Linked DNA regions of Notamacropus eugenii. The protein of the gene in region 3 purifies or fractionates together with the protein of the main gene of each other region. This does not show direct contact. Links are inferred from orthologs where the notes say so. Each region holds a gene or a part of one and is shown on either strand. Other genes may lie near its edges.

Region 1 (8,000 bases), about 130 Mb from region 3:
TATGACACTTTATGGTTTGCACTTTACAAATATCTCACTTTATCCTAACAACAACCCTGGTAGGAACTATTATGATCCTAATTTTATAGATGAGGAAATTAATGCAAATATTTTTATGAAATAGAAGTTAAATGACTAGCCCAGAGTCACAGTTAGTAAATGTGAGAGATCTGATTTGTACTAACTCGATGCCTCTCATTTAAATCCCAGATCTGTCACTTACTAGCTATGTGATCTTGGGCAGGTAACTAATCCTCTGTGAGCCTCAGTTTCCTCACCTGTAAAGTGGCAGACTGGGCTAAATAAACTATAAGGTCTATTTAATTCCTTACTGTGTGGTTCTAAAGTGAGGTTACACTTCCTCTCACAATCATACTAGCCAGGGCTTAGAAGGATAGAGACAGAGACTTTGGTGGGTGGGGAAAGGAAGGCCTTCCAAAGATTCAGATTTTATTAGTAGGAAGAGAGGAAAAGGAAATTCTAACCTCTACTCATTTTTTAATGTAAAAGACAGGTCTTTTCAAAGTTACAAAGAGATTCATTTATATGTTTTAATGTGAAATATCAGGCATCCACTTCAAAATTTCAAACCCAGCAATTCTTTAGGGCATTTAAGAATTCCTGGTAATGACTTTTTAAAAAAAAATACAAAGTAATAATTCTTATATAAATATAAAATACAAAATAACAGATTAATAGTTTACTTGCAGTAAACACAGTTGAACAATAAAGTTTTAACTGAAAAATTTATAATAGGTTTTAAAAGACCCAAACACTTGGTCATTCTATCATGAGAATTTTTTCAAAGTTGTTAATGAGAGGCAGAACACTTCACATGGGGTTACCAGCCAATCAATTTCCCTGGGGTTGGTTTTAGCAGTTATACAAAGTATGCATTTAGTACTGACTTGAGTAATATTTTTTCTGAATTAGTTAATTATCTATGAACTAAATGAATTCAAATTCTTAAAAATTTCTGTAACAATATAAACTTAGCTTACAGTAATTACTACTTGAAGGAAGAAAAGTTTTAAATTCCAGAGAATTAAGTTCCAAACTGTTCATTTTAACAAATAAGATTCATCAGATCCTGCAAACACAATGTATAATTATTGACAGCTTTTGCCTCTGCATCATCATAACTAGCAAAGTAACTGCTTTATATTCAAGTAATTGTATGTATAAAGAAACTGATCAATACAGTGTTAAAACACACATCTACTATGCTCATATGATTAAAAACTGAACTAAAAGGAAAAAACAAAGTTGCTTTTTTCAAAATTAATCTTTCATGATTTCTACTGAAAATGTTTGACCTCCAACATTTTTTTTTTAAACAGCCTAACTTTTTAGAAAACTCACCCATGCACTTTAGGGACGACCACGTACAATTAATTGAATATGTATGCTCTTCCACAAATTTAAAATGCAGTTTTGTAATGGTTGGGTTTGAATAGTTTGTATTAATTCAAAAATACTATCTGTAGTTTACACACGGTCTAATATTTCTGTGGATAAAATGTTAAGACAATGTTGAGGAAACTGACGTTTTATTTACTGTAGCTAATGTTGGTGAGGTTCGCCAAGAACACTTAAGCTATTGTACTGGCAAAAATAACAATGCCTTTGGAGTCAGAGGACTTGGGTTCAAGTCTCAGCTCGGTCACTTGCTGCCTATGTGACCTTGGTTAAGTCATGTCTGAGCTTATTTCCTCATCAGTAAAATGAAGGGGTTGGACTAAACTGCCTCTAAAGTTTCTTCCAACTTTAAATCTATGACCTCTGCGACAAAAGACAGCATGTTAAATATGCAAAATGTTGATATGTCTAACCAACCAAGTCAGCAGTTCAGTATGGTCACATTAGTTTATACTGATGCCTAAAAGGGCAATTCCAAAACTACAAACAAGTTCATTTTCAAAGATAAATCCTATCCTAAAAAGGATTCAAAAGTTGGCTGGCAGGAAGGATAGGCTTACACCTTAAGGAAAGTTCAAAAGCTTAATTCGACATGACTTCCCCCTAGGAGTGGATTAAAAAAAAAAAAAAAAAAAAAGAAACGACACCGAAAGCAACTTGAACGCTGCTTCCGTTTGCAAACCACTCAGCGAACAAGGGTGAATTATGTCCCTTTTTCTCTCGGCCCAAATTGGAAGGAAAAGCTTCGAATTAAACCACAGGCCGGGTGTCCCCTCCGGGCTCGGCGTGGAGGAAAGCCCCGCCAGGACTTAGGACCCTCCTCGGCATTTAAACCAGTCCCCTATCCGGCGGGGCCAGCCCAGCTCCCGGGCTGCAGGGGTCCGCTCGGACCCCGGCAAGTCAACCGTCCTCGGGTCACAAGTGATTTCTCCGGAGGGTGACGGGGAGGAGGGAGCGCGGAGGGGGGCAGGCGGCCCCGGCCCGGGCGGCGGCCTCGGGCAAAGGGGCAGTGTTTACACCTGTCACGAGGAAGGGGAGAAGGGGGGGAGCAAGCAAAGCTCCGAACTTCACAACTGTGCGGGTGTGTGCGGGTGTGTTTTCCGAGGGAGGGGAAGAAGAGAAAATCAGGGCAGGTAGAGAGGTCAGGACCAGGCGGGGAGCGGGAGAGGTCGCCTCCAGCCGGGGCTGGGGAGCCGGGGGTGGTCGGGGCGGCGGTCGGTGGCGGGGGGGAGCGGCCCCGGCCCCCCAGGACGGGCTCGCCGCAGGCCCCGCGAGCCTCTTCCTTCCCCGCACCCCCCGGGCAGGAGCCCCTCACAGCCACCGCCCGCCTCCCGGCCCCCTGGCCCCCCCGCCCCGGCCGGGCGCGGGGCGGCCTCGGAGGCGGCGCGCAGGGAGCGCCCGGTGTCTGGGCAGCCCCGTCCTCTGAGGGGAGGAGACCCCGGCGAGGCGGCCGCTTCTTACCTGGCTCCTCCAGGGCGGCCGCGATGGGCATGGCTCGGGGCCGGGGGAGGAACTGGCTCCTCCGGGGCGGAGCGGAGTGGGCGACTAGGGAGGGCAAGCTTCCCGCCGCCCTCTCAGCTGAGCGGCGCCATCTACACCCACCCGGACTTTCAGCGCCTCCGCGGTACCCCCATCCCGCTGCCCTCCGCCTGCCGCCTCCGCCTCCTCCTCCTCCGCCTCCTCCTCCTCCGCCGCGGAGATTCCCTCCGCCCACTTCACACATTCTCCCATCATGCAGCGGGAGAACCGCCGCCGCGGCCACGTCATTTCCGGGCGCAGGGTGGATGGGTCGTGGCTGGGCGGGTGAGGTGGGGAGGGACCCCTGGAGGAGAACGGGTGTCACAGACGCTCCTGTCGAGTGCGGAGCTCGGCCCGCCATTTTGGGTGAGGGCAAAATTGCCCTTTTCTTGGTACGGGGCGAGCTGCGGAGGTAAGTGTAGAAAGAGTCGTCCCTCCTTCCTCCCCTTGGCAGCGGAGCCCGAGGCAGGCGTAATGGCTAAAGCAGTGCCTCGGGGCTGGGCCTCCTCTCCTCGGACGCCCCCGGCCCACACTGAATGGAAAGGGGCCATAATCTGGTTGGTTGCTAACTCTGGAGGACCTGGGAGAACTCCGTTGCTCCTGGGGCCCTCCCCTCCTCGTGCCTCTCTTCCCTCTCGGGCCCTGACCCTCGGCCCAAGCCCGGTCCCCTCTCCTGATTTCGCCCCGCCCCCATCGACTTTCCCATTTATCTGCTGCCGCCAGCAGTTAGGAAATCCCAGGGTTCCAGGAGAAGCCGGTGATCTCCTGTGGGCTTCCCCAGGCACCGGGACGGGGACCGGACGAGGGGCTCAGTGGGGAGCCGACTGCGTACGCTGGGTCTCGGAGAATAATCAAAGCAGGACTTTTCTCAAAGATCTAGACGATTTTAGTTATTGACCGCAACATTAGCGAGGAGGGAAAAGGAGTCCACGGCAAGGGGAGAAATCAGATCGGATTCCTCCGATGGGGGATCGCAAAACACCACTGCACGTGTCTTCTCTTCTGAGTGCCCAGTTCATTCAGCAGTATGAATTACCAGGCTGTCTACGTGAATTATTGTGATCACTCAAAATAAGCCTTCCCTTCTTCGTCTCTGCATCGCTTTTACTTGGGCTCCTCACACTCTGTGATCCACCTACTTCAGCGGACCTAGGCATTTTGAATAATTTAAGGTATTTTCGCAATTCTAAAGTAAAGCATTTACATATTAGAGACCATGAGAAAACAATCCCACTGCAGCGCCGGTGTCTGTCTGTTCTCTGGGGTGAGGGGAAAGAGCAGAATTTATCCCCTCATTTCATAGTGACTTTGAGGGCTAAAATAGAATATTTGCCTCTTTCGACTCAGTCCTTGTTAGACGGAGAGATTGCATCGCTACAAATTTTTCCTTCTGCTTCCTGAGTAGTAAGAAAAATGGATATACTGTATCTAATTTATCGCATTGTATTTTGCCCCCTGCTGGTTCAGCAGGTATACATTGTTGCATATAACCCAACCCATAGTTTACTACAAACTGAAAGGAAACTGAAAAAAAAATATTTGGGAAGAAAAAAGTAGTTTGCACAAAAGCGGAAGTATGTATTGGTTTAGAAGTTGTGCTAAATGGCAGGATTCTGAGTAGAACATGTGAGAAATACCACTGTGGATTAGTTTCATCTAATTTGATTTGAAGACAGGTTGTCATTCAGAGAAAGCAGTAAGCCAGATCGTGAATTCAATCATCCGGGGCTCCACTTTGGGAAAAAGTTTGTTCTTGATATCACCTAGTGCTTTATTTATCACTACAACTTGAAGATTTTTTTTTTTTTCACCATGTAACTCGTTTATCCTGACCACTAGAATTGCAGAACTCCCCACAGAAATCCTCTTTATGTCAGTTCAAAGAGAGGGCGGCTAGGTGGCGCACAGTGGGCACAGTGAGCAGAGTGCCAAGCCTGGAGTTAGGAAGACTCATTTTCCTGGGTTCAAAACTGGCCTACGATATTTACTAACTGTGTGACCCTGTGCAATTCACTTCACCTTGTTTGCCTCCTTTCCTCGTATGTAAAATGAACTGGAGAAGGAAATGGCAAATCACTGCAGTAACCTTGCCAAGAAAACCCCAAATGGAGTTATAAAGAGTTGTGGACGCTATTGAATGATAATATTGCCTTTAGTTGTGAAGGCTTTTTATTGTTTTAAAAATATTAATCTTAAAGCAGGATTTTTTTTATCTTTTTGTCTTATGGTCACCTTCATAGTCTGTTAGACCTCTTCTAGACCTCTTCTCAGAATTTTATTTTTTTATATTTTTAAATTAAATTATTTTATTTGTTTTCAGTGTTTTATAATCACTTCCACATATCTTAGCAGAATTTTAAATGCATAGGCTTACAATGGAGATCAATTATATTGGAATTTAGTTATCAAACATTTGAAGAAAATAGACAAGTTCTTAGAATCCAGGTTAAAAACTCTTAATCTAATAGAAATTTTCAGTGATCTGAATTTTTTGCTAAATGATTAAAATACATGTATTCATGGTTTGGGGAATGGTAAAATAATTTGTGTCTTATGAACATAATAGAGTATTATTGTGCTGCAAGAAAAGGTAAATATGAAGAATAAAAAGAAATATTATGTGACATAAAACAGAATCAGAATTCATTCATACATGCTAACTGCAAGTATATAAAATGAATAAAATAAAACCTGAAAAATTAGTGTTCAAAAAATCAATATAAGTAAATAAGTTAATAAATTTTATTAATACATTTATTTAGCACCTAATATGTGCTCAGCTAATATTTCCACTTTGCAAATTTCTCATTTGATCCTCCTAACCATCATGCAAGTAAAGAAGGTGCTATTATGATCCCCATTTTAGCCAGTGAGTTGTTATAAGTGAATTATCCTGAGTCTTTCAGACATTGTATGTCAGAGACAATACTTGAACCCAGATCTTCTTGATTTCTTGGACAGCTTGACATCCATCCACCACATCCTGCTTCCTTTCTTGTAAATAATCAAAGAATTTTAGGGTTGGACCAGACCTTAGAAATCACCTACTCCAAAAATATCAAACTCATGGCCTTGCAGTCTACTTTAACAGCTGGCAAATCTCCCTAATAGGACTTAACATGTAACTGGGAAATGTTTAACAAAACAAATTAAAATACAGTGTTAATTTGAGTTTCTCTAAATCAATATTTGGTCCCTATTTCTATTTAAATTCGATTCACTGATCTACTCCAACCCCTTCATTTTACATATGAAGAAACTGAAGCTCAGAGGTTACACATGAAATTAGTGACTGGCTTGGGCAAGGTCTAGTAGAATTCAAATCTGACTCTTAAGTTAAGAATTTACAGTATATCACACTGCTTATTAAGACATTCATATCTGGGTTTTTTTTCAAATTTATATACATGGCCTTGACTTCCTTACATTCATTTCCAAATTAAAAAAAAAAACAATTTGATCTTGAAGAGTAGTTGTGGTTTTTTTTTTCTTTTTACAAAAGAGTTTTTTAAAATATGAAAACTGAAAGAAGCAAACGGGGATTACAGCATTCTTTTATTTTTAATTTTTTATTCGTTTTTGAATTTAAATGCAAAAAGACAAAAAAAATCCATTTACATAGCCCCACACAAGGAGAGAATTCAATACGAAGCCATGATTCCATTTCATACTTTACTTAAAAAAGCTGAGCTATGTAATAAATGCTATTCATTGTTTTAAAAGCCACCCTGTTTTTCTGTGCTTTCTTCTGAGTTTTCTTCTCTGTTGTGCACTTTTTACTTTATCTTTCTCCCTCCCTCCCCACACTACCCTCAAGAAGGCCACTGATGCAATATGTGTGTGTGTATGTGTGTGTATATACATGTATATACATGTGTATATGTGTGTGTATGCATATATATGCAAAACCATACTACACATACTTATCAGTTCTTTCTTGAGGTGGATAGCATCTTCCTTCATAAGTCTTTTGTAGCTGATTTGAGTCTTTGTAATACTCAAAATAACGTAGGCATTCACAGTTGTTCATTGAACAATATTGCTATTGCTATATACAATGTTCTTTTGGTTTTGCTCATTTCACTCTTCATTATTTCCTGCAAGTCTTTCCATGTTTTTCTAAAAAGAAACCAGGTCATCATTTCTTATAGTGCAGTAGTATTCCATATAATGATGTAATAAATTTTAATCCATTTAAACCTAGGCTAATATGCACAATAGTTCCTGGGAAAGCAACTGTAATAAAAAAAAGAATAGATTGTAATGTGGTACCAGAGAAAAGACAACAAGAATTACATTGTCATAAGGAATACCCAGTTTGGATGGTAGGATAAACTGAAGTTGGCAATAATAATAAAAACTACGTATCACTTGGGGTTTACATTTTGCAGGTAGCTCATTTCATCCTCTCAACAGCCCCAGGCAGTAGGTGCTATTATCCCCATTTTACAGATGAAGAAATTTCAGCAGACAGACCTTCCCACCTGCCCTTTATGAAATATATTGTTTATCATAGAAACATAGTCCCCTGCAGCTGAAAGGGACCACAGAGTTCATCCTATCCAACTCTCTGCTGAATCTCTAATATCCCCAAGTGGTCATCTATCTAGTTTCTGCTTAAAGATTTCTGTTGATGGGAAATTATTTCCTGAAACCGCCAATTCCACTTTTGAATAGGGAATTGGCTAAGGAATTTAGTGATGCTCTGCATTCTTTAGCGGCTGGAATATCCCTAATTAAGGCAGTGGCCCTGGACTCTCAAGATTCCACCTGACATCCTTTGGTTCACTTGTACTTCCTCTGATGCCATTGCATTGCAAGAGAAATCTCCAAACCCTCTCCCTAAAGGAAATGAGAAGCTGAACTTGAAATCATTGTCCTATGTCCTCGAAGGCTCAAGTAAATAAATAGTCATTTCCTGTCATGTCTGTGTGTCTGTGTGTGTTTGTGTCTGTGTACCTCATTAGAAGATAAACAAGCTCCTTGAGAGCAGAAATGTTTGCTTTTTGTCTTTGTATCCCTAGCACTCCGGTCAGTGGCTGACACATGGAAGCTACTTAATG
Region 2 (7,240 bases), on a different chromosome or scaffold from region 3:
AGGATGACCCCAATCTCTAAAAAGCACCAGAAGGCAGAGAGAAAGAGTATTGGATTTGCAATCAGGAAATCTGGGTTCAAATCTCCATTTTTCCACTTAGTACTTGAGTAACCTTCTGGGAACCTCAGTTTGCTCATCTGTGAAAATAAAGGGAGTGGACTGAGTGATCCTGAAGGGCTCTGGGAGCTCTCCTTCCTATTATTCAAAGTGTAAATGTGACCAAAATAGCAGCTCATTTACAGCCAAACAAGGCTGAAGCAAGACCTCTTTTAAGTGGAAAGTCCTATTTAATAGCTTGTTTGTGTGTGCACATGCACACACGCACACACATGCATGCATACATACATACATACGTACATACACACAGAGAATTAAAGTGCAGGCAGGGTTTGAAAGCTACTCAATATGCTCTGTAAGGCTAAAAAAAAAAAACAAATCTCAGATCTCAGTTGAAGGAGTTTGTGTTTTGAACTGGAGAGTATAACTAAAATGAAGGGAAGCTGAGTCTGTATCATGTTCCACCTCCTTACTTGCAGAGGTGGAGCCAAATTATCTTTCAGGTTCCTTTCAACTCTCAGCTTCTACAAAGATTCAGCCTAAATATCCTTTGCTGAAGTCTCTGACTCTTCCTACTCAGCAACTTGCTACCTTTGTCCAGTCCTCAACTCAGTAATGAAATGTTGGCCTGCCCATGCCAAGTCAGCATCAAATCCCCTGGCTCCAGAAGCAGACTATAAATTTACTCTGTATCCTAAAATTTACCCAAGCAGAAACAGAGGACCAGAGAAGTCAAGTGACTTCCTCAGATCACCCAGCACTACCAAGGCAAAGTGTGGACTTAAACCTAGACCCAATCCCTTAGCCCAATACACTGTTTTTCTCAGACTACAGTGTTCATCTTAGTCACAGTTGGGATGAGTTTGTCTATTTTCCAGCTGCCCTCTAGAGTCTAAATCACATGTTTATGGACACCCTAGGAGAATTTCTGGTCCCAAATCCTAGATTCAGACCTTACTGTGATCTGAGTCATGCCCACACCCACCCTGGTTTCATCAAATACTCATCTGCGTAGGCAGGAGCTTTCTTACTATTCACTATGTCATAGAGGAACACACAGACACACACTGTGCCATTGCCTAAAGGTAAAATCTGTTCAGCTACCGAATTTTCTCAGGAAGGCTTTTTAGAAAGGAAGAGAAAGCTGATATGAATTAACAAAGATATTTGAAAAGGCATCCCTGGCATCTTAATGCAAAAGGGGAGTAGGTAGGAGGTGAAAGTAGTCAGTTCAAAGATAAGAGATTCTCTCTCATTCTTGTCTAACAAGCATTCCCTCAGTTTTGAAGATCATTGTCTCTTCTCCCCCTCAGTGCCCTGAAACTGAAGCCTGCTGTCTCCTGACCTCTAAGGAAACATTTCTGTCAATGACATATAGTGAACTGTGCAAGAAAATCCAGGAATCCTATCTTTCCTGAAAGGCAGTTAGGTGGCAAAATCCAGGGACAGGAATTAGGAAGCCCAGTTCGAATTTGGCCTCAAATATCTGTGTGACCCTGGACAAATCACTTTACTGCTGTCTGCCTCACTTTCCTCACCTGTAAAATGGGGTACTAATAGCATCTAGCTCCCAGGGTTTTTTTGAGGATCACATGAGATATCTGTAAAGCTCTTTGCAAGTCTTAAAGCTCCATATACATGTTAGCCCTTATTCCCCTTCCCTCACCCTCAGGATTCCCCATCCCTTTTCACCTTCTGTGCCTGGTTGATCATCTTCCGGACCACCTCCTTGATGTGAGCTTGTCCATCGATGGGAGGTTGCATGTACACACTGGCACGGGTCACCCCACGGTAGGCAATGGTATCGGGCCAACCAAGGTCCAGCTGCGGGATAGAGCGGTCTGACTTCTGTGGCCAGTATTCCAAGGAAGGGACCAGGTCAGCATCAGCATCAGCATCAGCATCAGCATCACCACCTCCCTCTCCATTCTCTTCCTTATCATCGGGCCCAGAGCCCTCACAGAGGCCTCTGTGTTCCCGGGGGTCCTCAGACCCTGGGTCATAGACCTCAATTGTCTCCAGGATCTTCTTGAGCTCCAACTCGGACAAGAAGTCCCGGATATTCTCCTTCTTGAGAACTTCGTAGAAGGCCTCGGGGCCCCTGGCCACCAGGGCCTCCAGGGCCAACCTCTGCCCCTCACTATAGAAGAATTCAGGTTTCGATTCGCTAGAACGCCAGTTCACATGGCTGTCGTCCAGGCACTGCACCTGGGAGTACGCCATGGCTGTGCCAGGGGTACATACACTGGTCAAGTCAGGCCTGAAGGAGGAAAGGGTGGCGGGAGCTGGAGCAGAGTTAAACTAGGGGTTAGGAGGGGGCTTCCCGGAGGCCAAAGGTGTTCTTCTCTCCCCCCCCTTCCTTCTTGCTCCTCGGATCCGGAGCTCAGATGCCTGACCCCCCAGCGATGGCCCAGTAGGACGGGTAGTGGTTGGCACGCACAGGCTTCACCTGCATTCTGCCCATAGGGAACCTGTTTGGGGAAAGAGACGGAGAGTATGAATAAGGGCTTGCAGAAAGGGCAGTCCGGGCTGGACGGGCTGGAAGTCTGAGGGGGCTTCTAGGTGGGGGGCCGGACCTGGTGTTCCCCTTCCTCCGGCCTGGTCTCTCGTCCCTTCCCCCAACCCCCAGAAAACCCCCCACGGTGCTCCCAGGGGCCAGCACAGCCAGCCCGGATCTCCAAGCACGGCCAAGCGCCGGCCGGTCCGCGGCAGAGGGGGCAGATGGAGCCTTTGGGTGGGCAGCTAGGAGGCCGGGCAGGTGGGGGTTTCCTTCTTACCCCGGCTCTCCCCGGCAGCCTGGGTCCAAGAGGCCGCGCCGGCGAAGGGCACGCAGCGCTGGCCGTCCAGGGAAAGCGGAGCGAATGACAGGCGGGAGGCGACGGGTCGGAAGCCGCCAGGAGCCGCTTGAGTCACGGCCCCGCCCGGCCCCACCTGCGGGGGGGAGGGGCGGTCACGTGCACCGTGGCCCCGCCCTCTGGGCTCTCAGGTGCCTCTGGAGCCTGCCCCAGTCGGACCCAGGAAGCTGAGTCACCCGCGGTGTCTCCCGCCGCGTCTGCGATCCGAGGGGCGGAGGGGAGAAGCCGAGCCCCCCATTCCCGAACGCCGCGGGGATTAGTCCCCTAACACCTCCCCACTCCCGGCCCTGCTCCTCCCTCCCGGCACCCATCCTTAACCCCCTCCTCTGTCTCCTCCCCCAGCCCCCCCCCCCCATACCTTGGAGAGGGAGCCTGATGCGGCTGCTGGGAGTCTGGCGGGTCCCAGCTCCTCCTGCAAGGCCTCCCAGCCCAGGACCAGCCAGCCCACTTCGCTTCACCTCTGCCCCACGCTGAACAGGCTTGCTTACAGACCCCAGGACCTCCTGGGGATTCATTTATCTTAGACGTTGAGAGGAGTTTGCAGATGAACCACTCCGGGCCTCAGTTTCCTCGTTTGAAAATTCCAAAGCCCGGCATTTTATAGCTAAGGAGACCGAGACCCAGAGAGAGAGGAGGTGACAGCCAAAGTTACACAGCTTGGCAGTAGCAAACAGAACCAAGATTAGACCTCAGTCCTCCCAAGTCTCCCTCCAGGACTCCCCACTACTCCACAGCTGCATTGGCTTGTGTTATTTTCCCCGGACTGTAAACTTCTTGAGGGCCTCCAGTCTTGGCATTCCCACAGGACCTAGCATAGGATCAGAGGCAGGGCCTCCATAGAGGTTGATTGTACGGTTTTCATTAATTCCCAGTGATGGGGGTGTTAGCCACCTCCCCAGGTGTGCAGCCAAGAAAAAAGACACCTTCCTCTTAGAAGATCAGGTTCTTTCTCTGCTGCTTGCCATCTGGATGACTCTAGGCAAATCGTTTCACCTCTCTGGCCCTGTTTTTTTATCTGTAAAGTGAAGAGGGGTGGTCTAAATAATCTCTACAATCCCTTCCAGCTGTAGGTCTGTGGTGCTATTTCTCTTTGGCAGTTAAAAGTGGTGTCGTTGAAAGAGCAATGGCTTTCAAGTTGGGAAACCTGGTTCTGAGCTTGGCTCACTGTGTTTTGAGAAGACCACTTTCATCCACCTCAGTTTCTTTATTTGTAGAATGGAGATTGGATTATTGGAGTGAATGATGCTTAAGAACCCTTCCAGCTCTGAAGTTTTATGATTTAACAACTCTAGATGCTGCTACTGGATCAGTTGGGGCAGCTAGGTAGTGAAATGGAAACAAGTGGTGGACCTGAGTTCAAATCCAGTTTCAGGCACTTCTTAGCTGTGTGACCCTGGGTGAATCACTTAACCCTGTTCTGTAAAATGAGTTGGAGTAGGGAATGGCAAACTACTTCAGTATCTTTTCCTAGAAAACCCCAAAAGAATCAGACATGACTGAAAAGAAGACTAAACAGTAGGATCAGTTCCCCAATCCTGAGATGCTTCAGATTCCCCTCACCGTTGCTATTCTAACATACTTTACACAAGGGAAGCTAGATCCCCTGGTGGAGGCCTCTGAAGGCCATCACTTTAAGGGGAACAGATCCTCAGGGTGGGTCCCCTAAGGACAGGCTTACCTCAGCTCCAGAGCAAGCTCAGCTACCTGGACAGAGGCCTTGGCGTCTCTGGAGCTTGGGGGCTCTGGATTATGGGGTGGTGCAGCTGCCACATCTGATGGCTAGAGCCTCCTTTAAACAGCTGCCTGGGCAGGGAGGGGTTTAATTGACCAGAGTCTTAGAAAAGCCCATTAAAAAATGGACTTGCTTTCTGGGCTGTCCCTCCTCAGCCTAATGACAAAGCTAGTTTGGAAGGAGACATTGAACTACATGTGATGAGCTTCAAGAGGGCAGGGACTCATGTTACCTCCTCCTAGCTTCTCCTGACATGGAGCCAGACCCAGAGACTTATGAAGTGAATTGCTGATGGGTTTAGAAGTTTGGTGAATAAGCAGTATGTTGTAGTGAAAAAAAGTACTGGACTAGGAGTCTAGGAGCCCTGGATGTTCACTCCAGTTTTGCCACTATCTGATGTGTGAACTTGGTTAAAAAGTGTTGCCTCTCTGGGACTCAGTTTCTGAACCTGTAAAGAGGAGGGAGCCAGGAGGGCAATTTGATGTTGTCTTAGGTCAGACTTCAGTGATTTAACACTGTGATTCTAGTTATTTGCTTAGTAATCTTAGGGATAGGTGGATGGGTAAGGGAGAATAGGGTTGATAATACTCCCTAGAGTTGAACGATTGACTAACCAATGACTTTGCTGTTTTCTTTCCTAACCCTGAAAAGTGAAAAACCCTGGGATTATGCCTGATCACCCATTTAGGGAGTGTGACGCTAAATAGAAGGCAGAATGAGTTTGGGCAGTAGCAGATATCACTTGAAGGAAATGGAATCTTTTCTCTTTATACATATGTGCTTCCCACTACCACCTTCCCAGGAATCTGCACCAACATGGAAGAAGGAGCAGAAAGTGAGGAATATAATGAAAAAGGGAGCAGGAAAGGAAAAGTAGGGCTTATCCCCTGTTCCTTGGTTTCCTATAAGTCCCAGCTAGAACCCCACCTTCTATAGAAAGCCTTTCCGGATCCCTGTTAATTCTAGTTCCTTCCCTCTATTGATTACATCTAATTTATCCTGTACTTTTCTTGTCTGCAAATATTTGTTTGCTTGGTATCTCTCCTGTTTGTGAGCTCCTTGAGATCAGGGACTGTCTTTCGCCTTTCTTTGTATCCCCAGTGCTAAGCACAATGCCTAGCATATAGCAGATGGTTAATAAATCGTTATAGACTGACTGATGTACTGCCTGAAATGAGCAGTGCTCTGGACAGAGATTCTGGGACTCAAAAGACTTGGGATCTTCTCCCTACAATGCCAATAAATGACTATCAATCTTAAACAGTCTCTTCTTCTCTCTAAGCAAATACCTAATCTGTAAGCATAGAGATTTGAATTTGATCTCAAAGGTCCTTTTTCAGTTCTAAATGTTGTAATCCTGTCTAGCTCTAAAATGTTATGAGTCTTTTGTATTCAGTCTTCCCTTCTGGAAGCATCAAAAGGGAATATTAGAAATTAAAATTTGGTATTGGAATCAAAAAGCCTGGTTTCAAATCCTAGCTCTGTGTTCGTAGATGAGTTATTTCACCTTGCTGTGCCTCAGTTTCCTTATCTGTATAATTCGAGAGTTAGACTAGAATTCAGGGGTGGGGAACCTTTGGCCTTGAGGCAACAGGTGGTCTTCTAGGTTCTCAGGTGTGGCCTTTTGATTGAGTCCAAGTTTTGCAGAACAAATCCCATTAATAAAAGACTTTGTTCTGTAAAGTTTGGATTCATTCAAAGGGCCACACTTGAGGACCTAGAAGGCCATATGTGGCATTGAGGCCGCAGGTTCCACATCCAAGGACTAGATGATCTCAAAAGTTCCTTCCAACTCCAAATATGTGATTCAGATTGGTTTTGGGCAACTAGGTGGGACAGTGGATAGAGTACTGAACCTGGAACCAGGTAGACCTGAGTTCAAATATGGCCTTACTAGCTGTGTTTGACCCTGGGCAAGTCATTAACACTGTCTTCCTCAGTTTCCTCATCTGCAAAATGAGTTGGAGAAGGAAATAGCAAACCATTCCAATATCTCTGCCAAGAAAATCCCAAAAGGGGGTCACAAAGAGTCAGTCACAAAATGACTGAAACAACTAAACAACAAAATTAGGTTTGAAGATGGCAGCTGGTGGGGTAAGGTGTGGGGGTGCTGTTTCTAATATCAGCACACAAGACCATGTGCCTTTGCCATATGTAGTAGCTATATTTTAGGGTCATTCTCTAGCTATGTTACTAGAGTTTCCATGTTTGAGTATCAAAACTTCTTTTACCCTGAAGTGAAACTTGCTCACAAATGGGATTAGGACCAGGGACCTTAGAAGTCATACAGAAGAAACATCCAAGTTCAAATCCTAGCTCTGTGTGACCTTGGGCAAGTCATTTGACCACTCTGGGCCTTGGTTTCCTCACTACAAAATTAGGGATTTGCAATAGATGACCTCCACTGCCCCTTCTTGTTCTAAATACATGATCATTTATGAACCTAAGTATCTGGGTCATTCAGGTAGGGGGAAATGAAATGGATAGGGTTAGGTCATGTGATCTGGTCAAGATCAAGGGTAGCCCATTTGGTCCAGCTCCTATCAAGGAGGAATTGCTGTTCTAACACACTTGAAAAGTGGCTATTCAGGTCACT
Region 3 (7,178 bases):
TTCTGCACTGTAATGAATTTGATCTCTGCAGAGCAAGGACTGCTGATGACTCTCTAGCTAATTTTGTGGTTAAGTTCAGTTTATAATTTAAGCATTACAAAGATATTTTTAAATGCCTTCTGTGTTCCTATCTTAGCTCCATAGGCATTTGTCCTTCATATGCTACTACTCACTTGACACATATGCTGAAGTTGCTTTGAGTGATGTGATTTCTGGAATTCTGTTTCGCCAGCAGTGAAAGCACTAAAAAAATGGTTTTCTTTCTCCTCTTTTCTAGAAAGCCCATTTCTTGCTTTCCCTAAGGGTTTCCACATAAAGATGAATCACCTGACGAGGAAGATGGAACACTGAGCACAGACTATTTGGGATATTTTCATAAGATAATTTAGAGTTGGAAAGGACCTGAAAGGTCATCTAGTTCAGTTTCTTCATTTTACAGATAAAGAAACTGAAGCCAAAAGAGAGGTTCAGTGGGATGCCCAAAGTTCAGAATTTAAATTCAAGGTCCTTTGACCCCAGATTCAGTGTTCTTTACATTATACCATAGTGACTCTCAAAATTTCCTCTTCTCTTAGTAGAGTGCCATAAGTGATAATTAACAAAAAGTCATTTCTTCAGTGGCATTCATGGCACCCAATTCAACCTCAGTTTGCAAAAATTCACTCAGTTACTACTACTAATTTGCATCCACCACTTTACACACTGGCCCTCTTCTTTACAGACATAGTTTGATACTAAAAAGATAATCTATCAACATGTTGACTCAAAAGCATAGAAAAGGTTTAAAGAGAATAGCAAGCAGATAAACAGACTTCTAAAATGACATTAGCTGTCCTCTAGGGACATGATGATGGCCTGGCAACAATTTTCTAGTGGCCTAGAATAGAATTCTTCAGGCTTTCCATTAGTTATAGGTGTCTCCTTTCTCTACTAGTGGGGGCTTAGGTAAATGAAGTTGGGACGTGTTAGGGAAGCAGTAATAACTTAGGAATGATTTTGAGAGATTACAGCAACATAGTTTTAATTAGAGGCTAGCCAAACCTACGTTGACAAAGGGCAGTTTATCCAGGTATAAAAATAAAGTGCAACTATTCGTGTCAGCCCTTATTATTTCACACACCTGGGTGATGGCCCTTAGGAACAACTCTAAATGGAAATCATTTCCACCAACATTTGCTAAAAATAAATACATAAATAAAGTCATTACAGTAGATTACCCTGTTTTAGTAATGTAGCAACTAGCCTACATGCTTAGAGTGCAGTTACAAAGTTGCAACGTCCCATAGGACAGCATTAAAACACCTTCTCTTCTGTCAACTTCAACTATTTGAACTTAATTTTAAATAGCAAACGTTAAGTCCCTGCACATTCAGGAGCCAATGTCTCTGTTTTATGAAGCAAAATGGCAAGAGTTTTAGCATGTTTTCTAGCAATCCCTCAAGAAGGGGAAGCATAAACAAAATAACAGGTAAATGTAAAGCACTGACAAACCCTGGGCTAAAGGCCCTAGGTTTCCTTGCAAATAACAAATTAGAACCAGTTGCACACGTTGCATTTGGTATCCCCTCTTCGAAGCTCCCAGCAGCCCTGACAATTTTAATAAGAGCAAAGAGAGCAGACACCAACCCCAAAAGAAGATATTATTTACTTAGGCTGCCACCGAGAAAGCTTACACACTACCCATTCGTAGGAAGGCTACCCAAAGTATGCACAAACCAACCCGGGCAGTTTCTCTAGGTAGAAAACTGGGCGCGGGGAGGAGGGGAGGAGATGAAGAAATAGAATCCTGTAAAGTCAAGTCATTGGAAAGAGAAACGTTTCTGCAAAGGAGAAATTTCCATTTTTCTTTCTGGGGCACAACATCAGAAAGTCCAGAACCTGGGGCGCGGGGGAAGAGGGTCTGGAAAATCCCCAGCGCCCGGTCCCGCACAACCCCGAGGCCCAGAAGCTCAGCCCTTCCCCCACCCCCAGCCCAGCTCCCGGCACCCACCCAGTCCTCCCGGCGCTGGCAGGCAAACGCCCAGCGGGCAGCCCCGGCCCGAACCGGAGCCTTCCCTTCTCCAGGCTATCCGTCTCCTCTTTGGCAGTGTGGGGTGTGGGAAGAGGAGGAGCTGGGCTCTGCAAAGGAGCAAGGCAAGTGGGGCCCGGTCCCGAAATGTCCAGGATTCAGACCCGGTAAATACAATAAACAGGTGGACGCCCCTTCGAAACGCGTTTTCCTGGGTGGGGGAGGGGAATCTGAAGCTAAATCTAAGGGGGGAGGGGGGGAGAAGGGGACCTCCAAGCGGCCAAGACGCACACACAGAGCCCCCGAGAAATAAACCTGAAGGACATTTTCTTCGCGCCTGCCTCTCCCGGGCCCCCGGAAAATGGCTGCCAGTGGTGCCTCGGCCAGGGCCCGCAAACGCCCCGGCCGGGCCCGCGTCCCCGCGCTCTTACCTTTGAATTTGAGCTCGTGCTGCGGCTCGAGGCTCAGGACCTGCTCCACTTTCGCCATATTCCTCGGATTGGGGGAGGGGCGGGGGCGGGAGAGGGGGTGGAGGCGGCCGCTTCCCGCTGCACCAGGGTCGGTGACCCAGGAGGTTAAAATAAAGAGGGCATGGAATAACAGACGGAAAACACGCTCAAGGAGCACCGGCGGAAGGCGCAGAGGGGTCTCGGCGACCTGGCGGAGGGCGGGCGGCGGCGAGATGCCCGGGGAGCCCAGCCGCGGCCCGGCACCCTCACACACTCACTCGCACACGCACGCACACGCACGCACGCACACGCAGACCCACAGCCAGACCCGGGGAGAGAGGGAGCAGGCGGCGGAGGCGAGGGAGCGGGGGTAGCGGCGGCGGCGGCGGCGGCGGCGGGAGGCGCCTGCGATGATGCAGCACCCGGAGGGCCGGACAGGCCGGAGCTGACGTAGCGAGCGCTGCGAAAGCCTGGTCCTCCTTCCCGGCCACCTGGGCGAGTGCGCGCGTGCTGGATCCGCCTGGGGCGGAGAGGGGAGAGCTGGCGCGCGGAGGAGAGGAGGGCAGGGCCGCGCGCCCCGAGGGAGGGCGTGGCGCCAGGGGCGGGGGCGCCGGGGCTGGGCCTCCGGGAGGAGGGGGCGTGGGGAGCCCCCGAAGGGGCCGGGGCTGGGGCGGCACGAGCGCGCCGCCGCCCCGCCGTGGTGCTGCCCTCGTTCTGCTGGAGACCGCGGCTCTCGTTCTTTCTGGGGTGTCAGCGGCCGGCTTTGACCGTTCTTTCCACCACCACCGGATAGTTACCTTTGCCCAGAGGTCACCTGGAAGGATGGTGCCCGGGGCCTTGGCGGAACCGTGGGCATCGGGAGCAGCAGTGTTCAAATGAATATCAGTTTTACTTCTGAAACAAGCGAAGGAACTTGGGCAACCCAGATGCAAGTGCATTATTCTGATAATACATAATGCTTGTACATAACCTTGCAACAGTTTCTACCACCGGTTACTATCGTTAGATTCACTAATCTGTTAGGTGGACCAGGCTCAGGGTAATTACCCCCACTTTAAAGATGAGGAAACTGAGGCCAAGAGAAATCAATTGATTTGTCCGTCGTTGTGCTGCAGCTAGGTGACGACGTGGATAGGGTCAGGAGGACCCGAATTCAGATCCGACCTTGGGCAAATCACTTCACCTCATTTGCCTCTGTTTCCTCATCTGTAAAAGGAGTTGGGGAAGGAAATGGCAAACCACTCTGGTGGGTGGGATTGGGAGGAGTTGGACACGACTTAGTAACATACTATTAGTAAAAAGGGACCTTTAACACAGATTTTCTACCCTTGGGTTCAATGATCTGTGTTAGACCCTACTGCCGTTCCTATATATTAAATAACAGGTGCTCTACAATCCTCTGAAAGCCTCTGAAGGTATCCTCAGACTATTCTATAAAATATAATTAATGTGAAAGTCTTACATCAACCAGGAAAGGGAAGGATTATGAAATACCTTCTTCTACCTTCTTCTGTGGAAGTTCTCTGAAAATAAATATTTTCCCTGTTAATCTTTTAGATCAATTCCTTAATATAATAATTTGTCAGTGCTGTCCCAGTATTTTATCTCTAGACAATTAGGAGCCGTAAAATCTGGTTCTGATTTTTATTTTTGTGTCTAAGCAGATCTAGGGCTTTTCACTGGCAGGAGTGTTTTAACATCTGACCATAAAACACGATGAATCAACCTATTAAAGCTTGCAACAAGGCAGAAGATTGTGTAGAAACATTAAGGAAGTAGGCTACAGTATATATCTGCATTATTTATAATGTATCCCACCTCTTCAGCTGTTTCTGTCCATCTCAAACTTCTCTGTTCATCTTTAGAAGGCCTCTTTCTGATCCCTGGGTGGTTCAGACTAACCGTGATCCTGTTTAATGTTGTGCATTCAGTGACTTAGAAAGATTCTTCTTTCTCATTTCGCTACATAATTTAAATCATTTTGCTTTTCTTCATTTGACTTTTTTTTTTAAATGAAGAATGACAACTTTGGTTTGTCTCTATTTAAAAGCTGCAATATGAAAAAAAAATTAGCATGTTAATTATGAGCCACATGTTAAATGACCCTCAGCTCTTAGGAGATATACAGGGGTTAGCATTATATATGCAAATACAAATCAGCTCACATATAGCAGTCATGAATCTTGTTACATCAGTAAATAATTAAGCATGTCAAACAGCAGGCTTAGATGTCTGAAATCAACTTTGTCCAGGAAGTGATTTGTATTTAACCATCACTTTCAGATGCTATTTTTTTTCTACTTCTTCAAATGTTCTTCCACATTTGCCAGATCACTTTAGCCTCTGTATCAGTTTATTCAATTTCAAAATACTGAAGAGGCAAGTTAAGATTTTTCTATTTAAACTCAGTCACTTAGAACAACAGGTTGTACTTTTTAAAAAAATGAATCTGATTTCTATAAACTTCGTATTTAAAACTTTCTTCCCAGAAATTCGTAAATTTGGCAATTATACTCTATCCCACTTGTAAAAATTGTTCTTTTGCACTTAAAAAGAAATCAAGGGTAACTGAAAAAGAATCCCCAACATCTTAACTGTCAAATGTGGAATTATTGCTTTTGTAATAACATATTAAAGGAAAAAACAAATCTAGATATTTTATAATTTAAATGGCTTGTATAATAAAATCTGTCAAATTTGCATTGCAATCACACGGGTTAAAAATGAGTTCTTATTGTTGTTTTCATAATTCTTATTCTCATTCTTTCATACATTAATAGTATTGATGTTAGCTGAAGATGGGAATGCTGATGTCAGTGTTAGCACTATGAAAAGAATCTAGGTATTTGACCTTAAATGTAAAGTTCAGCATTTCATTTTTAAAAAATAGCTGTTTCCGGAAAGGTGAATAGAATCTTTGTAAAACCTTTGAAGGCTGTTCCCATATCATTTAACAAATAAGTTTATTTAACAAATAAGTTTATTTAACAAATTTCTGGATCTATATTATTTATGTATTGAAGACTTACCAAAGAACTTTTTAAAAAATCAGTTTGGTTGTTTCACATTATTTACAATAAATACAGTACTTTCATTTTTATAATCTTTACATGCCAATCTAGTACTGTGGGAAAATGCTAAACCTTAAGACAAAAAAGACCCGAGTTCCAATTATGCAACAGACATTTGCTGTGTGACCATGGGAGAGTTGCAACTTGTTTCCCTATCTGTTAAATGGGCATAACAGGACCTGCCTACTTCACGGGGTTGTTGTTGTTCAGCCATGGCTGATTCTTCATGACCCCAGAGACCATTGCCACACCACACCCTTCTATCCTCCACAAGGTCTCAAGTCTGTTGAAGTTCATGTTTGTTATTCCCATACTATGTATCTCATTCTCTGTTGTCACCTTTTCCTTTTGCCTTCAATCTTTCCCAACATCAGGGTCTTTTCCAAGGAGTCCTGTCTTCTCATTATGTGGCAGAAGTATTTAAGCTTCAGCTTCATTATTGACTGACATTCCAGTAAATAGCCTGAATCAAATTCTTAAGTATTTGATCTCTTTGCTGTCCAAGTGACTCTCAAATCTTCTTCAGCCTTACAGGTGTTCAGTGAGAGTCAAATGAATATATGCAAATATGTGCAAAATATCTTGCAAACCTTAAAAGCAGCATAATAAATTTCAACTATTAACTATTAAAGGTGTTTTCTGAATTCTAGTACTGTGAAACTGCTAGAAAATACTGAGAAGTTTTAGGCAGCACTGTTTAAGATGAAAATCTAAATTCTTGGGCTCTTGATTAAAACAATGGGTCTATTAACACCCTAATTCATTCTGACCAGAGTCAGATGTAAATTTTTTTGCTACAATCTGTGTCAAGAGCCCTCCAGGATATGTACTTTCTTTTGTCTTCCTTTTAAAGAAATAGTTTAATGCTTATAATAAAAGATCTAAGAAAACTGATGCTTGGTTTCTCAAAACAATATCGACCTTTTCAGTAGGGCAGCATATTTTTAAGCTGGTATTGATTGGACTCAAAATACCCACAAGCTTTAAATTTAAGCCTTAAATGTTAGTTATCTCAATCACTACCTCACTAGAAGTCTGGTGCTGAATTTCAAATGAAAGTTACCAATCAATTTGGAAATTATCTGAAATCTGAGAAACATGTTCTAGGCACTGCCTGCCCTGTCTAAGCCTGCAGGTAGGTACTGTCAAGCACATTACAGCAGTAAAGGATCCTGATTCTAAAAAGCTAAGAGAAGATGAAAACATGTTACTTTTCACAGCATGTACACAGTAACACTATTCACATATACACTGCAAATGGAACACTAGCATCTCTGATAAACTTCTAAGTTTGAAGTGAAATTAGTTTTGAACTTTTTATTTCATGACCCATTTAACCAATTCAACTCTACCCTCAAAAGAAAGGGCTAATCTTGGCCTTGGCAATTCTGGCCCCTGTCTTGAATCACAAGGGATGAGGAAGATTAGGACCATCCAGAAGGATAACCTAGAAAGTAAAGACAGCTGGTTCTTGTTGCCACTTGCCTGTGTGACAACTGTCAGTTCTGTAGCTAGTTTCCCAACTCTGTCTGGGAACTGTTTTAGATATGCTATTTGAGAAATCATGATTTGGAGGAAATATGTGCTCCTTAGATCAAACCACAAAGAAAAACCATTCTAGAATGCAAGTCTTCATGTTTATAAACACAT
Region 4 (7,995 bases), on a different chromosome or scaffold from region 3:
ACGCCCAAAGCCAGCCAGTCTGATTTTAGCTAGGGACAGACAAACTGTACAGTCAGAAGCACTACAATGAAAGAACAAGGACTCACACACAGCTGGCCTGGATGATTTTGCACACGCTACAAAGCATACCCCATATAGTACTTCAATCATGAAAAGACCATAACGAGGTCCACCAGTACTGTCAGTTTGCCAGTCACTGCAAACTTAGCTGTCAGACATCAACTACACCATCAACACTAGTTTGGAGTTGAATAGTGGGAAGGAGAAGGCCACAGTGGGTGGTGCCTAGAGGAAGCTGGGAAGTATTCCCTACTGAGGACTTTCAGGATCCTTGGCAAAGAAGCAACACTAAACCAGTACTTCCAGATTTTATCCCCAACACATTCAAATCAGTACTACAAGTCAGATTAAGTCAAAGTTGTGCACAGTTATAGTAGAACAACTATTCACACTATGATCTTAGCTAATAATTAGGGAAACTACAACACCTGCAATCAATACAAAGTAGTGAACAAAAGTATGCAGAAAAGAAATTATAACAAGAACACCTAAGAAACAAGTATCCTTACTGCCTGGTTAAATTGCCTACATTTTGTCATCTGCAACTTAGAGTATCTCTAAAGACTTTTGTCATATCACTCTGCAAATCAGTTAGTGCTGTGAATTATCTGAAAAAATTCACTCCCAAAACAAACTTTACCATCAACAACCAAAATGGAGAGGTTTAAAGTTACACCTCCCCTGACTTAAAATTTAGTTTAATGCTCACAAGAATCACATACTGTAACTAGATGACAAAGAAAATATATGTCCAAAACTGAAAATAGGCAAATATAATTTCCAGTAATAACACTCAAAAAAGATCACTGGTGACTCTTGTATGGCATGAGTTGGTGGTCTTAAACTCCATTTCTACAGACTTAAACAGCAACAGGAAGAAATAAACCACTAACACATTTGTTTCTAATGGTGTTTTTCTGTCTAATGGCTCAACAAAAATGGCAAGAAATGAATGAGCCAGGAAAACAATTACCCACTCACCCCTGAAAGTGATTCTCAGAAGCAAAACACCCTGAAAGAAAGGGGAATAAAAGTACATTCAGGCATTACAAGATAAGCATGGTGGTTGCTCAAAGGAGACAGGAAAAAATGTTTCATAGACAACAAAACCTCATTTTTAAAATAAATGATACACTTTAAAAGAGCATATGTGGAGTTTTTAAATGTCAGTAGAATGCTTTAGGTGAGTGTGCATGTGACACTGTGGAAAGCATCAACAGGAAGAGGAAGTGCAACTTCTGTCTCTGGAGGAGCTGTTTTGGTATGATAATGGAATTCAGCCCTTTTTTAATCAACAAATGAGTCCAGCAATTGGGTGTAACTCTTATAAAGTAATTCAAACACTTTTTGCCAGAGTCCTATTGTTCTACCTTACAACAAAGGAGTTTTAAAAACAAATAGGCTTTTCTAAAGCTGATGTTTCTTTTATTAAACTTCAATTTTAGTTCCTCCCTCCACTTTCTTAAGTTGTGTTAAAGAGTTTTTTCTGGAAGAAAAACTGTAATTTTAGTCCAGAACACAAAAAGAAAAATATGAAGTTAGCATATGGACCACAAATATGCAACCTTGTTGTGTGTGAAAGGAATCCAGTTATAATGAAAATGATATATGTAAAAACACTGTAGAAATGAATGTGCTTAATGTTACTGTATCACATTTAAAAGTTTAATACTCAAGGGTTCAGAGTACCTAACCTAAAAGTATTTGCTGACTTATTAAATCAGAAATGATCCATCTAATCTAAGTGCTAATAAAGACAAATCCATTTATTAGCTAGCACATCAAACCCTACATAATTCCTTTACTGCTTATGATATTCTTTTAAACTACATTTTCCTGGGAAATATAAAAATCAGAAATTATGGAACTATAACATATATGGAATGTTATACCTAACACATAAATGTAACATATATGGAAATATAACAACCAAAAAGCTTTTTAAAAAAAATCGCCATCCAGATGCTTTACCCCAACTATAACAAGATACAGAGTTCCATTCATCGCCGAGTTACTATATAACAATTAAAAATTAGGCAAGCCAACATTTTAAAAAAGACCAAGATCTTCACAGAGTGCAGAGCCTGAAGTCAGGAAGCCTCATTTTCCGAAGTTCAAATGTGGCCTCAGACAGACACTTCCTAGCTGTGTGACCCTGGCCAAGCCACTTAACCCCGTTTGCCTCAGTTTCCTCATCCTCATAAAGTGAGCTGGAGAAGGAAATGGCAAACCACTCCTGCATCTTCGCCAAGAAAACTCCAAATGGAGTCACGAAAAGTCAGACACGACTGAAACGACTGAACAACAAAAAAGTTCACTAGTCCCAAGGTCCCAAGTTCCCTTTAAAAGGGACGAAGATCACACGGGCCACAAGGTAGCTCTCCCTCAGGAAAAATCCAATATCAAACTGCCCACACAACTGGGTGAGTGATATTGCCCCGGTATCCAACAGATGTGAGGCACTGACCTTCACCCAAAGTGACCTTCTGGGAGGGGGCGGGGGTTGTGATAAAGACTCTCAGGAGTGCCAAAACAACCCAAACCTTCATTTTACCTACGTTTCTCAAGAGCTTAGCTTCATTTTGAAACCTGGAGGTGCGCATCCTGTGTCCCTTCCCCAGGGATGCGTTGGGTGACGGGGCGGCTGCAGCTCGGGAGTACTTGTACAGATCCGAACCCTACTCTGCCCCGGGCCTGTCAAGCTCCGGGGTGATGGAGCTGGCGGAAGTCGCTCACTACCAAAGGCTGACCAGTAAAAGGAGTTTCATACCAACCTGTCCGTGATAGTAGACTGTGTGCCACTCATTGGGGCCCTTGGCGAGAGGTCGTCTTTCTATCCAACTTGCATTTTACAACCACATCCCAGTCCCCACCCCACCCCCAGCCGGCGCGGCTCCGAGAGGGACGCACAAGTCCGACTCCAAACTCCGGCCAGTCATAGGGCATCCGCCGGGGGGAGGGGGAAGAACGGGAGAAAGTCTCGGAGGGGGGGGGGGGGGGACACGCTCCAGGCCCGCCCGGGAATCGTGAGGTCGGGCAAAGGGGGCGGCCTCGAGTCTCCGCGAAGGCGGCTGGCTCCCCGGCTTCGGGCAGCGGCCGGGCGCCCCGCTCCTCCTCCTCTCGAGCTCGGGGGCCGGGGCCGGGCTGGGGCCCAGTCGGCTCTATCTGGGGCTGCGGGTGAGTCGTCGTCGCTGCTGCTGCTGCTGCTGCCGCCGCCGCCTCTGCTGCTGCTGCAGCCTCCGCTCGTGGGGCCGTCCCGCGCCGGGCTCGCTCAGCTCCGCAGGGTTCGGCTCCTCCATGTCCCCCGGGGCGGGGTCCCCTCCCGTCCCGTCCCGTCCGCCCGGGGGGAGGGCTGTCCCGGCGGCGGCTGGGGCAGGGGCGCGGGCACTCGCTGAGTCAGTCCGAAGGGGGGGAGGAGGAGCTGGGGGCCGAGGTCTCTCAGCGCCGCGGGCCGCGGCTCCCCATCCCCTGGGAGCTGGCTCGGGCTTCTTCCGCTCTCCGCCGCGGCTCCTCCCGGGAGAGGGGCCTGTCCCGTCTCGGCCGGCGGGGAGCGGCGGCGGCTGGGACTCCCCTCAGGGCCGGTTCGCCGGGTCCCGCGGGGCTATCTCGGGAGCGCGCTCGGGACGGAGGGGGAGGGGAGCGGGGAATGCGTCGGACGCCCAAGGTAAGGCGGCGCGCAGGGGGAGGGGGGGTCGCGACGATTCCAGCCGCGCGCACGGGTTCCGGTTCCGGTTCTGTCCTCTCCAGTCCTAGGCTCGTTCTCCCACACTCGCTCTCCTCCCCCGCCCTACTTTTCTCTCTCTTTTGCTTATTTTCCGGCCTCCTCTCTTACTTCTGAAAGCCGCCTCACTCAGGATTCCTCCGCGCGGCGCACACACACCAGGGCGCATCGGCCGCTGCCGCCTCCTCCGCGCGCTCGTCCCGGCTCCGGGAGCCTCCCCCGCAGGCGGCGTGCTGGAGAGGGAAGGGAAAAGTAGTGCTGCGGCCGGGCGGCCCGGCCCCGGGAGGGCTCTGCGCCTTGTAGCGAGGCAACGCCCCGGAGCACGACGCGGCCCCGGGGGAGCTGGTTATGGGGAAGACTTGATGTCATACTAGATCTTGGAATCAGAGGATTAAATCTCAGCCGTGGCGCTTGGAGCCAGTCACTAGGTCCCTCAGTGCCTCTATTAGCCTCCTCTGTAAAGTGGGGGTTGAGTAGGCTGGTGGGGTACGCAAAGTACAAGGTTCGTCCCACTTTATGATCCCTCCGGTGAATGGGGTTTCTCCTTGGCCTCTCATTTTCACACAGATGTCCTGAAGAGCCGTGATCCCTGCTTGTGTAGTTATGTCCTCGTATCCGTGTGTGTGTGTGAGAGACACCGAGACAGACACCGAGACAGACACCGAGACCTGCTTAGCAAAGCTCGGCTGTCAAAGCCGAGCCACGACAGAGAGATGGGGGGTGGGGGGGAGGGAAGACCTCCCTTGCAAGGCTCCGTTGTTAATACGAAAGAAAGGGGAAAAGGAAGAAACGTCCCTGGAAAGTTTCAGCTGTCAATGCCCCGGCTCCCCCTGGCACTACCCGGCACTACCTGGCACCGAGAGAGCCTTCCAAGGGAAGCCTCTTAGCGGGTTTGAGAAGAGACTTGGGACAACAGCTTCTTCACCTGTGCGGGGCGGTGCACTTGGGCCCCCGATCCCTACCTCTAAAGACTGGAGATAATGGGGACCAGTGGAGGGCTACTTAGTAAAGAAAAAAGCAGTCCTGTCCAGATGTAATAGCTCTGTAACCTTGGGCAAGTCACTTCACTTGTCGGTCTGTTTTCTGATCTCTCAGGTCCCTTCCAGCTGTATCTTTTGCAATTTCTTGGTATGTTACCTTTAGCCTGTTTCTGCCTTGAAAAATAGGGTGTGTTATTTGCAGTCACGGAAGAGAGCAGGCTGTGCTGTTTTCTCTGCAGGCCTTCATAGCTGTTTGTGGAAGGAAAAGAAAAGGCATTTTCTGGTATTTTGATCAAAGGGAATCTATATAAAAATTATCTCTGGAGGTTTTTCCACATATTTCACCATTATCTACTTATAAATGATGTAAAAGTCAACAGTATAGGAAACTGAGCCCAATATATCCATGTTCTACAAGTCTTCACATCCAGGTATTAAATGCCTCCGCTGTACCTTTTGCTAGAAATCCCTCCTGACCCTTGAATTCCTACCCATACAGATGCCCGTATGCCATCCCTCTCCTTCCACCTATCCACCCATCCTTGGGGCAATAATGACATCCCCCACCTTCCCATTAGAGTATTTGTTGACATTTCCCTATACACATTATCAGAAGATCATAGGTTTAGGTCTGGAAGGGATTTCAGAGATCATCTACTCCAATCCCCTCATTTTGGAGATGAGGAAAAGAAAAGACAAGAAAGGTGACTTTCCCAAGGTAACACAGGTATTAAATATCAGAGCTGGGATCTGAAGCTCACTTTCCACTGAACCATTTAAGATGTATTTTTATTATAGTTATATGTCTATATGGCATATTCCCCTTCTAGGTTATAAGCCCCACAAGGACAGGTACAATCTTGTCTAAACTAGATCTCCTTCAATACAAGATTCTACACATAGTAAGGACTTAATAAATTGCTGCCCAATTTGAGATACTTAACCTACTCTGAATAACCCTGTTCATTGTTTCATTTTCAGAGTCTTGGTGGTTTAATGATTTCAGCTGTTTGGTGAAAATTGAAATTTATCAGAATTTAATAATTTTCGTTAAAATAATTTCATTTTAACATTGCTTTCTGTGAAAGTCATTCAGCAAGAAGGATCATAACCCTGAGTGTTCTTTGTGCTTGAGCTAAGGGTGACATAACACAGGGGGGAAAAATTAAAACAGAGTCCTAAGATGACTCTAGCTGCGTGATTTCTGAGATCAGTAAAGAGCCAGCTAATTTTGTAATGTTTATTTTTAGAAAGAAACAGATTTAGTGATACAGGTCACTTCAGTCCTAATGATGTCAGCAGGATATATTGCCACCTGCTGGAGTATCCTAGTATGACACAATTCCATCCTAAGAACTGTCCAAGCAAAACTGCAATTTAAAAAAACAAAAATTGTTAAACAGCTAGAGATCGAGCCATTTCAATAAGCCTTGGTCAAGATCCAAATCTGGGCCACAAACTCAACAGATGTATTCTGTATAATCATGCAGACTTTCACAATGATGGACTAGCTGTGTCTTCCTTTGACATAATCCTTTTGTTAGACATGTATTCATTCCAGTGATTCATCAAATGGTGCACTGTAAAGATGGGTTCCCCTCTTCCCTTTGGGATCTTAAAGACCCTTTTTTCTATACAGTCTTTCTGGGGAAATTGTTTTGGACATAATTCTAAACTTAGACATTCATCTATGACCAAAGAATAAAAATCATATTGTTAGAACCGGAAGAACACTTAGAGATAGCCTAGCCCCTTCATTTCACAAGTAGGGAAACAAAGAGTTGTTAAAGATGAAGTGAGTTATCTAAAGTCACACAAAGAATTAGTGGCAGAAAAAAGACTAAAAGTCAGCTCTCCTGACTCCCAGGCTAGTGCTTTCCAGTTGCTTTTTGCTTCAGTGGGAAATGGTATGTAGCGATTATGAAATTATTTCAGATGGGAATTATTCACTGAAGTGCCACAAAGTCAACCTTTCCTCCCCCATTCTCTATAGAATAGTAAAGGCTGTTTTTGGAGCTACCTATAGTTTATGGAATCACAGAATTCATTTGGAAGGGACCTCTGTAGTCATGTGGAAAAGAATCCCCCCTATAATACCCTCCACAAGAGATTACCCAGCCCTTGCTTGAAAATCTCCAATGAAAGGAAACCCCCCTACTTCCTGAGAGAGGCCATTCCACTTTTGGATAGCTATGATTGTTAGGAAGTTGTTTGTTGTTTTGAGTTTTTTTTCTTACATCAAACCTAAATTTGACTCTTTGCAATTTCCACCCATTGTTACTGGTTCTTTCCTCTTGGGCCAAACAGAAGGAGGCTAATGTCTTCCACATTCCTCCTTTCAAATACTTGAAAACAGCCATCTCATCTCCCCTGAAAAGTTTAAAAGGTAAAGAGATAGCTCCACTTAAGATCATGAATTTACAAGTGGAAAGAAAAATAAAGATTATTTAGTCCAACCTCTTCATTTTAGAGACAAGGAAAGAGCAACCAAAGAAATCAAGGGAATTGCCCAAGGTGGTGAGAGACAGTGCCAGGATTCAAATACAGATCCTCTGACTTCCTATGCAGCACTCTTTCTGCTGCACTACATTGTCTAAAACTTGGTTTTTAAAAAAATAAATGACAAGGTAAAAATGAAACTTGATTAAAAGAATGATTTTAGAACCAAATAAAGTTATATCCCTGACATATTCCAGGCCCAGAAGAAATAAACTGATTTTCACATTGGAAAATGACACTGAAGACCTGACATCAATAGGACATGTGTTTGGGCTATTCTTTCAGTGGTAGTGGTGCTTTTGCACTGAGCTCTATAACATTCTCAGCTGGCTTCTCTTGTGACCAACAGTGCAAATATTCCACTCAGTTGGCTAAGTGCTTGGGGTACAGGCTGTGGCTGAGCAACATGTGCAAGTAAGTGATCTCTGCCTAAGGGAATCAACCTTCCACCTTAACCTTGCTTGCTTAACCCTTGACCTAACCTAGCTCTACCTAGGTGAGCCTAAAAGATAGTGCTTCCAGGCTTAAAGAAAATCAAGCTGAAGACAAAAAAATATATAAGTACTTCCTCTCTTTCCTATTTTTTTTCTGTAGGTTTTCATATATATGGGAGAGCTTTATAGGTGAGGACCTCATCACATGTCACATAGATTACTGCACTAACCCCTTCATTGGACTTGTAGTTTCTATTCTCATCTCTTCTCCAAGGCATCTTCCACATAGCTATCAGACTAT

What was found.
Region 1: the proteins of VAPB (region 3) and AFTPH purify together in Homo sapiens (affinity purification with mass spectrometry; 3 studies listed by BioGRID and IntAct, counting the BioPlex papers as one, with this or other methods). This does not show direct contact. The link is inferred for Notamacropus eugenii from reciprocal best matches to the Homo sapiens genes VAPB and AFTPH.
Region 2: the proteins of VAPB (region 3) and FAM83G purify together in Homo sapiens (affinity purification with mass spectrometry; 3 studies listed by BioGRID and IntAct, counting the BioPlex papers as one, with this or other methods). This does not show direct contact. The link is inferred for Notamacropus eugenii from reciprocal best matches to the Homo sapiens genes VAPB and FAM83G.
Region 4: the proteins of VAPB (region 3) and ARHGEF12 purify together in Homo sapiens (affinity purification with mass spectrometry; 3 studies listed by BioGRID and IntAct, counting the BioPlex papers as one, with this or other methods). This does not show direct contact. The link is inferred for Notamacropus eugenii from reciprocal best matches to the Homo sapiens genes VAPB and ARHGEF12.

Annotation. Positions count from the first base shown.
Region 1 is NC_092872.1:639,957,963-639,965,962, forward strand, and holds the start of AFTPH (aftiphilin), read right to left. Parts: upstream 3,006-8,000; 5' UTR 2,881-3,005; intron 1-2,880. UniProt on the Homo sapiens protein: Component of clathrin-coated vesicles.
Region 2 is NC_092874.1:320,030,152-320,037,391, reverse strand, and holds the start of FAM83G (protein FAM83G), read right to left. Parts: upstream 3,001-7,240; 5' UTR 2,835-3,000; intron 2,529-2,834; 5' UTR 2,281-2,528; coding exon 1,750-2,280; intron 1,734-1,749; exon of another isoform or gene 1-1,733. UniProt on the Homo sapiens protein: Substrate for type I BMP receptor kinase involved in regulation of some target genes of the BMP signaling pathway. Also regulates the expression of several non-BMP target genes, suggesting a role in other signaling pathways.
Region 3 is NC_092872.1:506,916,701-506,923,878, forward strand, and holds the start of VAPB (vesicle-associated membrane protein-associated protein B/C), read right to left. Parts: upstream 3,023-7,178; 5' UTR 2,498-3,022; coding exon 2,440-2,497; intron 1,974-2,439; exon of another isoform or gene 1-1,973. UniProt on the Homo sapiens protein: Endoplasmic reticulum (ER)-anchored protein that mediates the formation of contact sites between the ER and endosomes via interaction with FFAT motif-containing proteins such as STARD3 or WDR44.
Region 4 is NC_092876.1:277,951,688-277,959,682, forward strand, and holds the start of ARHGEF12 (rho guanine nucleotide exchange factor 12), read right to left. Parts: upstream 3,001-7,995; 5' UTR 2,867-3,000; coding exon 2,835-2,866; intron 1-2,834. UniProt on the Homo sapiens protein: May play a role in the regulation of RhoA GTPase by guanine nucleotide-binding alpha-12 (GNA12) and alpha-13 (GNA13). Acts as guanine nucleotide exchange factor (GEF) for RhoA GTPase and may act as GTPase-activating protein (GAP) for GNA12 and GNA13.